Rattus norvegicus: one gene and its partner. The protein of the gene in region 2 interacts with the protein of the main gene of each other region in a pairwise test. Links are inferred from orthologs where the notes say so. Each region holds a gene or a part of one and is shown on either strand. Other genes may lie near its edges.

Evidence for each region. The genes of interacting proteins can lie anywhere in the genome.
Region 1: the proteins of Grb7 (region 2) and Lax1 interact in binary tests that used the Homo sapiens proteins (3 or more experiments, as listed by UniProt). The two-hybrid records come from large-scale screens. The link is inferred for Rattus norvegicus from reciprocal best matches to the Homo sapiens genes GRB7 and LAX1.

Annotation. Positions count from the first base shown.
Region 1 is NC_086031.1:47,693,653-47,699,787, reverse strand, and holds the start of Lax1 (lymphocyte transmembrane adapter 1), read left to right. Parts: upstream 1-2,391; 5' UTR 2,392-2,642; intron 2,643-3,481; 5' UTR 3,482-3,579; coding exon 3,580-3,665; intron 3,666-6,135. UniProt on the Homo sapiens protein: Negatively regulates TCR (T-cell antigen receptor)-mediated signaling in T-cells and BCR (B-cell antigen receptor)-mediated signaling in B-cells.
Region 2 is NC_086028.1:83,945,806-83,951,082, reverse strand, and holds the end of Grb7 (growth factor receptor-bound protein 7), read right to left. Parts: intron 3,930-5,277; coding exon 3,819-3,929; intron 3,619-3,818; coding exon 3,520-3,618; intron 3,318-3,519; coding exon 3,237-3,317; intron 3,143-3,236; coding exon 3,026-3,142; intron 2,892-3,025; coding exon 2,831-2,891; intron 2,715-2,830; coding exon 2,627-2,714; intron 2,524-2,626; coding exon 2,430-2,523; intron 2,257-2,429; coding exon 2,110-2,256; 3' UTR 1,746-2,109; downstream 1-1,745. UniProt on the Homo sapiens protein: Adapter protein that interacts with the cytoplasmic domain of numerous receptor kinases and modulates down-stream signaling. Promotes activation of down-stream protein kinases, including STAT3, AKT1, MAPK1 and/or MAPK3. Promotes activation of HRAS.

The DNA of each region.
Region 1 (6,135 bases), on a different chromosome or scaffold from region 2:
AATCTGCATTGCCAGCACTGATGACGTAGCCTGCAGCCCTCCACCTCCAGCAGGAGACTTTGCTCACCGATATACATATGTTGAGTCCGTTTCAAACCAATCCAGACCTAGTACGGCAGCTTATGCCTATAATCCCAGCACTTGGAATTCTAAGGCAGAAGGATGGAGAGTTCAAGGTCAGTGAGACCCTAACTAAGGAAAATAAGCAAAAATAAAACCAGCCCTACTAGTTTACCTCACACGGGGCTCCTAAAATGATTTTGAAAGGTTTCAAGGGACACTAGAAGAATCCGGTTTAAAGCATGCGCCTTGTTTCTCAGAAAGTACTCCCCACCTTCTTATCTTAATCTCTTTGCCAGATTTGACTTGTGGAAGGAAAGTTGAACAGTACAGTAAAGGGGTGTGGAGCCAGCAGCCTGGGGAGAGAATCCCTCTTGAGGTGGTTTTGCTCAAACAAAACATTGGATGGGACCCTAGGAGGGAAGGCTGCTCTGGCTGCAGCTAGCGGGCTGGACAAACAAGGCTGGACAAACAAAGGAGATGATCACACACAGAAAGATTGTTTACCCTCATGCAGGGGTCAGAGATCATCCTCACCTGGCTTCCCTCGAGGTCCCACTCAAGCTCACACGGGCAGCCTGTCCACCAGTCTCTAGTGCGAGGAATCCAGTGAGGAATCCTAGGTTGGTTTGTTGTTATGTTTTCTGAGACAGTTTTTCTCTGTGTAGTCCTGGCTGTCCTGGAACTCACTCTGTAGACCAATCTGGCCTTGAATTCAGAAATCCACTTGCCTCTGCCTCACGAATGCTGCAATTAAAGCCAGCACTACCCAGGTTAGAGGAATCCTAGTTTTCATTCAGACTTGATCCCAAGGAAAAGTAGGCAGAGACCTACCACCAAACCGTGTCTCTAGTTAAGCAAGCTCCCCAGAGGGAAGGTGGTCAGAGACGGCATGGCAGGGTTTCCTGCACAGTACCCTGGGCCCTGAGAGAGGCAGACAGGTAGGGTGTGTCTGGGCTCTGGAAGCCAAGGACTCCAGTGTGTGCCTGAAAGAGGTTCCCTGAGAGGCAGAGTGACAAAGGCACTGAAGCCATCCCTTTCATCTACCTGGAGTTCTACCTGGTGTGGCAAGTGTCGTGGGAGAGGCTTCCGGCATGCTCTACTCACTCTTAGTGGTTCTGTCTGACTCACGGGGGGGGGGGGGGGGTCTCTGGACACGTGTGAAGTGAAAGGGAAGAGGGTTTAGAAACAAACTCAGAACATTCTCCCAAGTTGGGGAGGAACCCACCAGCATCTGAAATGGGAGGCTACCCGGGATTGGGATGGGGCTACAGAAGAGCCAGGCCAGCAACACATAGCCCCTTGCCAGAAGCCCTGAGGAAGAAACAGTGGCCCTGTTAACCCAGACTCCGTTCCATTCCCACCACGACACCGGAACAGAGGTTCTCGGAGTGTGAAACTCAGGTCACCTCTGGCACCATCGCCTGCAGATGAGCTATTTATAAAGCCGATCCTCCCTCTGAACCACAAGCAGGTACCAGAGCTGCATATCTCTAAACAGCCGACTCTCGAGATGTTTAGACCTGCTTAGAGCCAGTCTAAGGCCAGGCGTCGGTGGTATGCTTTTTTTTTAAATCCCAGCACTTAGGAGACAGAGGCTGGAGGATCTCTGTGAGCCCAAGGCCCGCCAGCCTGGTCTATGTATCGACCTACAGAACAACCACGGGTGTGTAGGGAAACCCTGTCTTGGGGTGGGAGCAGGGGTAAGAACCATCTGAACCCCGAGCCTGACTCACACCTGTCAGCACCGCACCAGGGACACTAAGACAGGAGGGTACCATGAGTTCAGACAACTTGGCCTGTGAAGGAAGATATGCCTCAAAAGACAAAAACCAAAACAAAAAAGCCAGAGTCAGCAAGATGGCTCATTGGATGAAAACACTGCCTCGGTCTGACACCTGAGTTTGATTCTTGAGACCAACAGAACGACACTCTCAGCCACCCCCCCCCCAAGTGTTCTCTGACCCCCACTCATGTGCCATGGCAAGTGTGCAGACACATGAAATAGATGTGAAAAGAATTATTAAGTAAAAATAAACCAATGGCAATTGCTCCTCAAACAAATTGCTTTAAACCTTCACATGTTGACCCTGGAAGCTTTTAACACTTAGAAAACCAGGGCAAACAGTCAAGTCTGTGACTTCATAACCACATAGGCCCCAGATGCCAGCATGCCTGTGGGGAACAGGAGGGCTGAAGGTGGGTTTCCTGCCGTCTGTGTAAGCTGAGCATTTCCTGTGCCCTGTGCCTTATTAGCACACCGGTGGAGGGTGCTTCCTGTCAGCCACTCTTTCCATTCTGCACGGTGCTTTGCTGTTTTCACACTGCCCTGGGGGTTGGAGGAAGACGAGTTTCTCACGAATCCTCTGGGCCACTTGGCAGTCTCCCCACCCCCACTGGTCCCTCATGTTTCCATCAACTGGCAGAAAACTAGAGCGTGGCCCCACGACGTCACACTGGGAGCACCAAGAGCTGGATGAGAAAGAGCACTTCTCCTGCAGTGGGCATTGGGGCCACCCCCAGTAAACCAGATCTGATGCTTTTGAATCTTGTACCAACTCAGTCCGGAATCTCAGGTCAAGGTAAGGGAAGGTTGGGTCTTATTGTTGTTGTGTTGTTGTTAGTAGAAGTACAGTCATTTATATTCTCTCTGTGTGTGTGTGTGTGTGTGTGTGTGTGTGTGTGTGTGTGTGTGTGTGTGTCTCAGAAGATAACTTGAGGGAACTAGTTCTCCCCTTCTGCCATGCAGGCGGTAAACCTGGGTCATTAAACTGGCAGTAAGCATCTCTGCCTGCAGAGCCAGCGAACCAACCCAAGGAAGGTAGTTAGCTGGGAAAAAGTTCTAGAACAGAAGATTAGAATCTTCAGAAAGAAATAAAAATTAAAAACTGGTTTTGTGTGAGAGAACTTTGGTGAATATGATCTAGGAAGAATGGCTGGGGAACGTCTGTCTCTGTTGCACCAGGTTCGAAAAGCCCTGGAGTTCCTGCCCCAGGACCACATACATAAGTATGGTTGGGGCGCACACCTGTAAATCCCAGTACTAAAGGAGCAGAGGATCAGAAGTTCAAGGTCACACACACACACACACACACACACACACACACACACACACAAAATTATTATTATTATATGTGTATTATATATGTGTGTGTATATGTATATATATCGGGTACGTAAAGGTTTCAGACTACTCTGAGATACATGAAACTCTAATGAATGGCTATATTGCAAGTCCCAGGTTGTCTGAGATACATTAGACCCTATCTAAATAAATAAGAAATTTCAAGAATACAAAATGATACATTTTGGAAAACATGGGGATTTGGAAATTTTTCTGTCATTCTATTATCTACTTTTTTAAAAAAAGGTGATTATATGCAAAATGCATACCAATTTGCCTTTTTTCCCTACGAATCAGCAACTTAGAAAGAGCTAAGAAAAGTGGAAGTCATACTGGCTAGTCAGTCACAACACTGAGAAGACTTAGAAACTGCAAAGCCCCTCAGAGGTCCAGTGATGTACACCACCCCAGCCCCTCCAGAGATCACAAGAAGGAGCTCAGAGCCAAGCACTCAGCAGGGGACTCTTGGCAGCCTGGAAGGGTGAGTTGCTCTGGGAAAGTGAACTCCAAGGTCCCCTGATCTAGCACAGGAATTGTCTAGCCTGGAAATGATGCCACACTTACATCCCAAGCCTGGGCTCACTAGGACAAGCAAACCAAACCGAGAGCAAACCATGCTGAGGGATGCTGGGAAGTAAGAAAGGAGATACTGGGGCTCAGGGCAGGGGGACTGACTGAAAGATGAATTTCTGATTGGATTTTCTTCCTCTCAGAGGCCCTGACCTCTATGCTTGGGCTTTCTAACCTCTTGTCCTAATCTCCAGCAATAAGTTTTTAGATCCTGAAGCCCTTATCATGAGTGAGAAGTGTAATAACAGATGTCATAAAGTTTTAGGGCCTTATAGAGGTAGTCATGAATGTAAACTCACTCCTGAGGTTTTCACTCTCAAATACACAAAAGTAAAGCGTCCATCAATCGGGTGCCAAGATTTTAGGAATATTAATAGGTGTAAATTCCAGTGCTCCCTTCAAAGTAAAAACGCAACGAAAGTGTATTTTGTTTTTAAATTGCTGTCGTTTTAGGAAATGTCAGTGTTATTACTAGAGTTAATCAGTATCGTGTGCAGGTGAAACACAGGTACAGAGGACTAAGTTCCTATCCATCATTGAAGCTTTAAGCACCATCTTCAATGAGTTCCCTTTTTAGTACATTTTTTTTGTGGGGGGTGGAAGGGTAGAGGTCAGAGAGCAATTTGCAGAAATCAGTTGTCTCTCTTTCACCATGTGGGTCTCAGGGATCAAACTTAAGAGTGTCAGGCTTGGCTGAAGGTGCCTTTACCCACTGAACCCTCTTACTGAACACTAAAAACTATTTTTTAAGCTGATATATGCTTTGTTGTTGCTTTCTGTCTCCTTTGCACTTTATAATCAGTAAATAAAATCTGTACTTATGTATTATGTTTAGCCTATAGTTTTGCAATGCATACGTGTTGTAGATGGCTGAATTCCATATGTATTACTTGACATAACCTTCAAACAACACCTTAAGCAATGTTCAAGAATACATTATTTTCAACATGGCCATGTTGAACTTCCTTCTACCTAACCTTTGACTCTGGAAACCTTCCTTTCCCACCCCTGCTGACCTCTAGTCTACTCTCTTGTTTCTATGAGTTCAATCCTTTTAGAGTCTGCATATAAGTGAGATGAGGCAGGATCTATCTATTCCTGGCTTCTTTCACTTAACACTATGTCCTCCGGGCCCACCCACCTTGTCACAAATGACAAGATCTTCTTCCCTTCTGAAGCTGAATGATATCCTTTGCATATGTATTCTACATTCTCTCTCTCTCCGTTTATCTATTGATAGACACTCGGGTTAATTCTGTATCTTGGCTATTGTGAGTTTTGCTGCAAAAGAATATGACAGTACAAATGTCTCTAATAAACACAGGAATACAGGCACACAGTTTCATTTGCTTTGAATATAGATCTAGTAGTGGGATGAACAGAGCATATGGTGATTCTATTTTTAATTTTTGGGGATAATTGCCATGAGTTATTTCCCACAATGACTGTGTTATTCTCGAAACTATTTCCGTGTTTGTTCATTTATTATTTCATTCACTTATCATTGAACAAATATTCATGACGCTCCTACCATGCTGCTTGAGATGTCCGTGACTCCTTGAGGCTCAGTCAGTGGCAGTGTTTGATGGCAAACATGTATACTATCAATCAGCCGTAAATGCTTTGAAGAAGAAATAGAAGTAAGAAAGCTGTGAATGGCGGGTGCAATCGGGGAGGATCTCTCGAAGGAGGTGAAGACACTTGAGACTTAAATGGAACGAGGGGCTCAGCTATGCAGATCCGAGATAGAACTTTTCTTCGTACGGATTGGGCAGGAACAGCAAGAGGTCCCGGTGGTCAGCATCAGGGGTAAGGGGGTTTGAAATGAGCCCGGATGTTAGTCAGGAGAAGACAGATCACATTATGTCAAAAAAATCCCTGCTGAGTACAGACTGAAGATTCACTGTCAGCATGGTGGGAAGCCATTCTAAGTGGAAGAGGGACCCAGTATGACTTACTCTGTACAGTGATCGTACTAGCTCACGGTGTACATGATATGTTGAAGTCAAGAGTGAAAGCCAGGAGGGCTCCCAGGGAGGGGACCACTGCAAGTCAACTTGGAACTCATCTTGGCTTATCCCAGGGTGGTAGCAGTGGAAGAACATGAGGTGACTGGATTTAAAGTGGATGCCCTTGCCCAGGTCAAAGCCGATTAATTGGAAGTAGGGCATGAAAAAGCAGTCAGTCAGGAGTGATGCCAAGGATTTAGATTGTACCACTAGATGACGGGAAGTCTAGAGGGAAAGCTAGTATATAAAGACTAGGTATAGGAGCCCAGTTTAGGCTTGAGATATCTGTTGGACAACCTAAGAGAAATGGCCAATAGAAGTTGGATCAGTAAGCCCAGAACTCAGAAGGACAAACATCTTTCCAGGTATTGC
Region 2 (5,277 bases):
TACAGAAAAAGTCCCAAAACAACCAGGAATACACAGAGAAACCCTGTATCAGAAATTTTTAAAAAATTAAAAAACCTGGGGGCTGGCGAGATGGCTCAGTGGTTAAGAGCACTGACTGCTCTTCCAGAGGTCCTGAGTTCAATTCCCAGCAACCACATGGTGGCTCACAACCATCTGTAATGGGATCTGATGCCCTCTCCCGGTGTGTCTGGAGACAGTTACAGTGCGCTCATATATGTGAAATAAATAAATCTTTTAAAAAAAATTTAAAAACCTACCACGCCATTACCATATGTTAAAAATGTAAATATGTCCCTTAATATAATATTGAATAAGTTAGAATGTCTCTAGTCGCTCATGAACGTGTTTTTACAGGGAGTTTGGGTTTGGGTCCTTTGGCTGTCGTTGGAGTAGAAACTAAACTATCCATTCTGATTCCCAGTCCTGATTTTGGTAACTGTCCCCACGTGTCAACTCATATGTTCACTGGCCCCCGTAATTCTGGGAAACTAGTTTGATGGAATTAAGAGTCAAAATTTGGGCTGGAGAGATGGCTCAGCGGTTAAGAGCACTGACTGCTCTTCCAGAGGTCCTGAGTTCAATTCCCAGCAACCACATGGTGGCTAACAACCATCTGTAATGGGATCTGATGCCCTCTTCTGGTGTGTCTGGGGACAGTGACAGTGTACTCATATGCCTAAAATAAATAAATAAATCTTTAAAAAAAAAAAGTCAAAATTTGATTTTTTTTTCCAAAATAAAATCTGCTTAGTCTAAAAGATGTGTCTCCACAACCGGGCAGAGGGTGTGGGTGTCGTTGGATGTACTTATTATAAGGCTGCCGTTGGGTTAGATGAAGGCATGGAACTCTGGGGAAATGCAGCCTAACTGAGCAGTGGGCAGGCTTGCACGGTCTCAACTCACTCTGGAAGCTGAAAGACGGGCTGGAGATTAGAGACTTAGGGCTGCATCTCCCTTCCCTGCCAGGCTTTCTGAGTGAGGGAGGCTGTAGGGACAGAAAGCAGATCTGGGGACTGCAGAGAGGGAGAAAAGGTTGGTAGAAAACCGGAGTGAGGAAAGTGAGACTTCTCTCCCTTCCCCGTGGCATTCGTCAGAACTCACTGTCCACTAACTAGTCCAAGACTTGCTGCTAACTCATCTTGGTTTGTGGAGAAAAGGGAGGTCCTGAGACAGGGTCTCATATAACCCGGGCTAGCCCTGAATTTCCTGCAGTTGTTTTTCTGCAGTTGAGTGCTGAGATTCTAGTCATGCATCACAGTTCCCAGGCTTGGTTAGATCTAGGCTCTGTCAGAAAAGCCCAGTCCCTTGGGGTGGAAGAGCTGGATCAGTGGTCAAAGGCACGGCCTACTCTTGAAGAAGACCCGAGTTTGGTTACCACCATCTACATTAGCACACAGCTGGCTCTAACTGCAGCTCGGAGGGACCCGGTGCCCCCTTCTGGCCTCCTTGAGCAACTGCATGTGCCCATGCACATACAAACCCACAGTCATAGACATAATTATGATTTTCTCTTCTAAAGAATGAAAGAAAAGCACCACCCCTTGTTGTCCATTTGTCCATTTAACAGGCACTGACTGACCACTTGGGCTGCACCAGGTACCTGGTAGGGTTTGAAAGCTCTCCGGCGGCTAACAGCCTTTTTGTCTTTAGGGCATATTCCAGTTGACCAAGGCCTTTCCCTCTGCTGGTTCTCTTGTCAGTTCTTGCCAGACAGAACTCGTGGGTGTATCAAAAAATAATCTTTATTATCACTGGTATAAAACAGAGCAGATCAACTGGCCTCTCAGTCTGTACAGAGTGTGGGTGGGGCATGAGACCACCCGGGCTGCCCCTACTCCTCTCATAATGCCCTTCACTGCCTCAGGAGCTCTACCAAGGGGAGAGGACCACAATGCCTCCTTTGGGGACAGGAGTCAGGGATGAACAGGGCTGGGGGATGTTTCATTACCTGAGGGAGGTAAAAAAAAAAGTGGGAGAAAAGTGGGGGGAGCTCTTCATCTGTTTATCATCCCACCCATCTGCACCGAGTCCACTGAACGGAGCAGAAGGGCGATAAGCAGCCCCATGGCTGTAACAGCTTGTGTGGCCTCAGAGGGCCACACGGGCACAGCAGTGGCGCAGCAAGCAGGGCAGGATGCCTCGGTTCAGCTGGTGGAATTCCACCAGCTGCAGCAGGTCTGTGAAACGGGTCTGGCCGTCATCCATGCTGAAGTAAAGGCAGCCTTCATCTTCGCTCTGTGGTGTGGCCAGAAGGCAGGTCAGACAGTGGTCCCGGGCAGAGGAGCAGCCGTGGGGCTAGCAATCGACCCCCGTTTCTTGTACAGGGAGAAAGGAGGTGCGTAGTGGGGCTTCAAGTCTCATATCTCCGGGCTACAAGAACCTAGCTCAGGGGTAGGGGAGTTACTCACTGGCAAGATGAGATAATGTTTGACTTTCTGCAGATGGCACAGAGACAGAACGAAGCCCTGTGGGTTCCGCTGGCTCTCCCGGACCAGGAATACACTGTGGGGGAAACAAAGTAGCATTATCAGGGGTTCCTGGTTACAACTGCTCTAGGGACTTTCCGGCCCCCAGGTCTGTTACCCAGCCCAGCCCAGCCCCTTACCCATCCACCAGGCCCTGCTGTCCAATTAGCCGCTGGCTCTCCTCCCGGGAGATTCGTCCATGAAACCAGGGCTGGGTGCGATGGATAGCTAGGGTCAGGGGGGAAGAGATGCTGATCATTCAGGCAAGGGAACCACCCCACCCCAGCCAGGACTGCTCAGAGTAGCAATGTAGCCCACCCAAGGGATTTTAGACCATCGCCCACCTGCACTGAGGCTCAGGCCGGAGCACGGGGTGGGCAGGCTGAGACGGTGGTTTGTCTTCTTCTGCAATGGAGGACATGGAAGTCAAGGAGCCCTTGGCATTCACTGGATCCCCAAGCCCTTTTCCTTCCTCCCTCCCTCCACGAACGCCCATTGGGAGCCAGTACAGCAGATGCATAGGTGTGTGAAGGCCTTACCCTCCAGGCCTGGGCTTCCTCCGTGGCAGCACTCAGAGCTTCCTGGGGGTTCTCAATGACACGCCCAGCATGGCCAGAGAAGTCCATGGCCACCAGGGTATTATCTGAGACACTCCTCTGGAGAGAGAACAGAATGAGGAGAGAAGGGGTCAGAAGAGCTGCCCTGAACCTGCATGCCCACTTCTCCCGTACCCCGGGATAGTATACTCACCAAGGGTGGAGACCCCAAATACGATAAGCGCAGGTGACGAGACTGGGCCTGCTGATAATTCTTATATAGCTGTACCCCGTACTGGAGGCAGGGGGGAAAGAGGGTCTGAGGTTATGAGAGCCTAGGAAATGTTGTGACAGAGCAGGACTGAGTCTGCCCTTCCTGATGGGTATTCTGAAATATCTGGGCTGTGATGACCTCCTCACTGGGAAGACCTCTGAAGGCAGAGCCATGTCATTTCTACCAGGCACGGCCAGCCCCATAGCCATTCCAGGGATCTCACCTTGAAGAGCCGGAAGGCGGACAGCCAGCAAGTCCGACTCTGCTCATCCTCGCTGCAGAAGATGTGGAGCCCCTTGTGGCCATTTCGAAGCTTGTTGGGCTGGGGAGAGAAGTGGACTGTCCCCTATATGATTCTGTACTCAGATGCCCTAGGGCAGGGGAGGACCCAAGCCCTGTCCAAAAGTGCAAGTACAGGGAGATGAGGCTGGGCTCCTCAACGTGACATTCAAAAGCCATAGATAGGACTCAAACTTAGGCAGCTCCCACCTCCCCGAGTCCAGCCCAGGCTGCAGCCCTCACCTTGACACAAAAGCCGAAGTCGGTGGGTATCCCATACAGCTTGCGGCCCTGGGTCACCACATACACATTGGACTCATTTATATCTGCCACGTACTGTAGGTGTCTCGGGTCCTAGGCAGCATGAGACAGTAGGTCTTGGTACAGGGAGATCCTATCTCCATGTTGGTGTCCCACCAGGTAGGGAGATTTTAGGACCAGGGAGAGGCAGGGAACTATCCATGGTCACACAGCAAACAGTGCCGAGGAGGTGACTCAGTTGGTAAAGAGTCCCCCTCCCCAAGCACCCACCCACCTTAAGAGCCAGAAGTAATATTGTACATCTAATCCCAGTGTGAGGAACAAGAGAGTTCTCAGGGCTCTCTGGCCAGGCGGTCTAACCTAATCCACGAGTCCTAGGTCCCAGTAGGGACCCTGTCTTTAAAATCAAGATACAGTTCCTAAGGAGATCTGCCTGAGGCAGACCGCTGACATTGATGCACACACAGACATACACACAGATACACACAGACACACACAGACACACGAGGATAGACACGCACAGGCATACACACAGAGGTACACACACATACAGAGATATACACACATAGGCACAGGCACACAGAGACATAGACATAGACACACACAGACACACACACACACACACACACACACACACACACACACAAACATCCACAGAAGGAGAGACACACACAGGCATACACACAGAGGTACACACACATACAGAGATATACACACATAGGCACAGGCACACAGAGACATAGACATAGACACACACAGACATACACACACACACACACACACACACACACACAAACATCCACAGAAGGAGAGACACGCACAGGCATACACACAGAGGTACACACACATACAGAGATATACACACATAGGCACAGGCACACAGAGACACAGACATACAGACACACACAGATACACATACAGACACAGAGGCACACACAGACACACAGAGACACACATATAGAAGCACAGGTATACAGAGACAGACATACAGTTACACACAGATGGACATACACAAGCACATATACGAAGGCACACACAGACACACAAAGACACACATAGGCACAGGTACACAGAGATATAGACATACAGTCATACATAGAGGGACACACACAGACATACACACATAGATATACACACATACATACACAAACATACCCACACACAGAGACATACACACAGACACACATACAGACAGACACACACAAAGACAGAAACATACACACACACACAAGCAGAGGCTGATTCAAGTGGCCTGTCTTTTCTACTGCCACTCCTGGGGTAGGTGACTCAAATGGGTTGAGGTAGAAAGGTTCGGGCAGGGCCTGGAAACAGCCAGTCCAAGGGGAGGGAAGAGCAGCTGAGGGTCCCCCTGGTCTGAGAGTGGAAAGGTCTAAGAGGATCAGTGAGGAAAAAGTACGTGACAGGCTAGAGCTGACCCCTC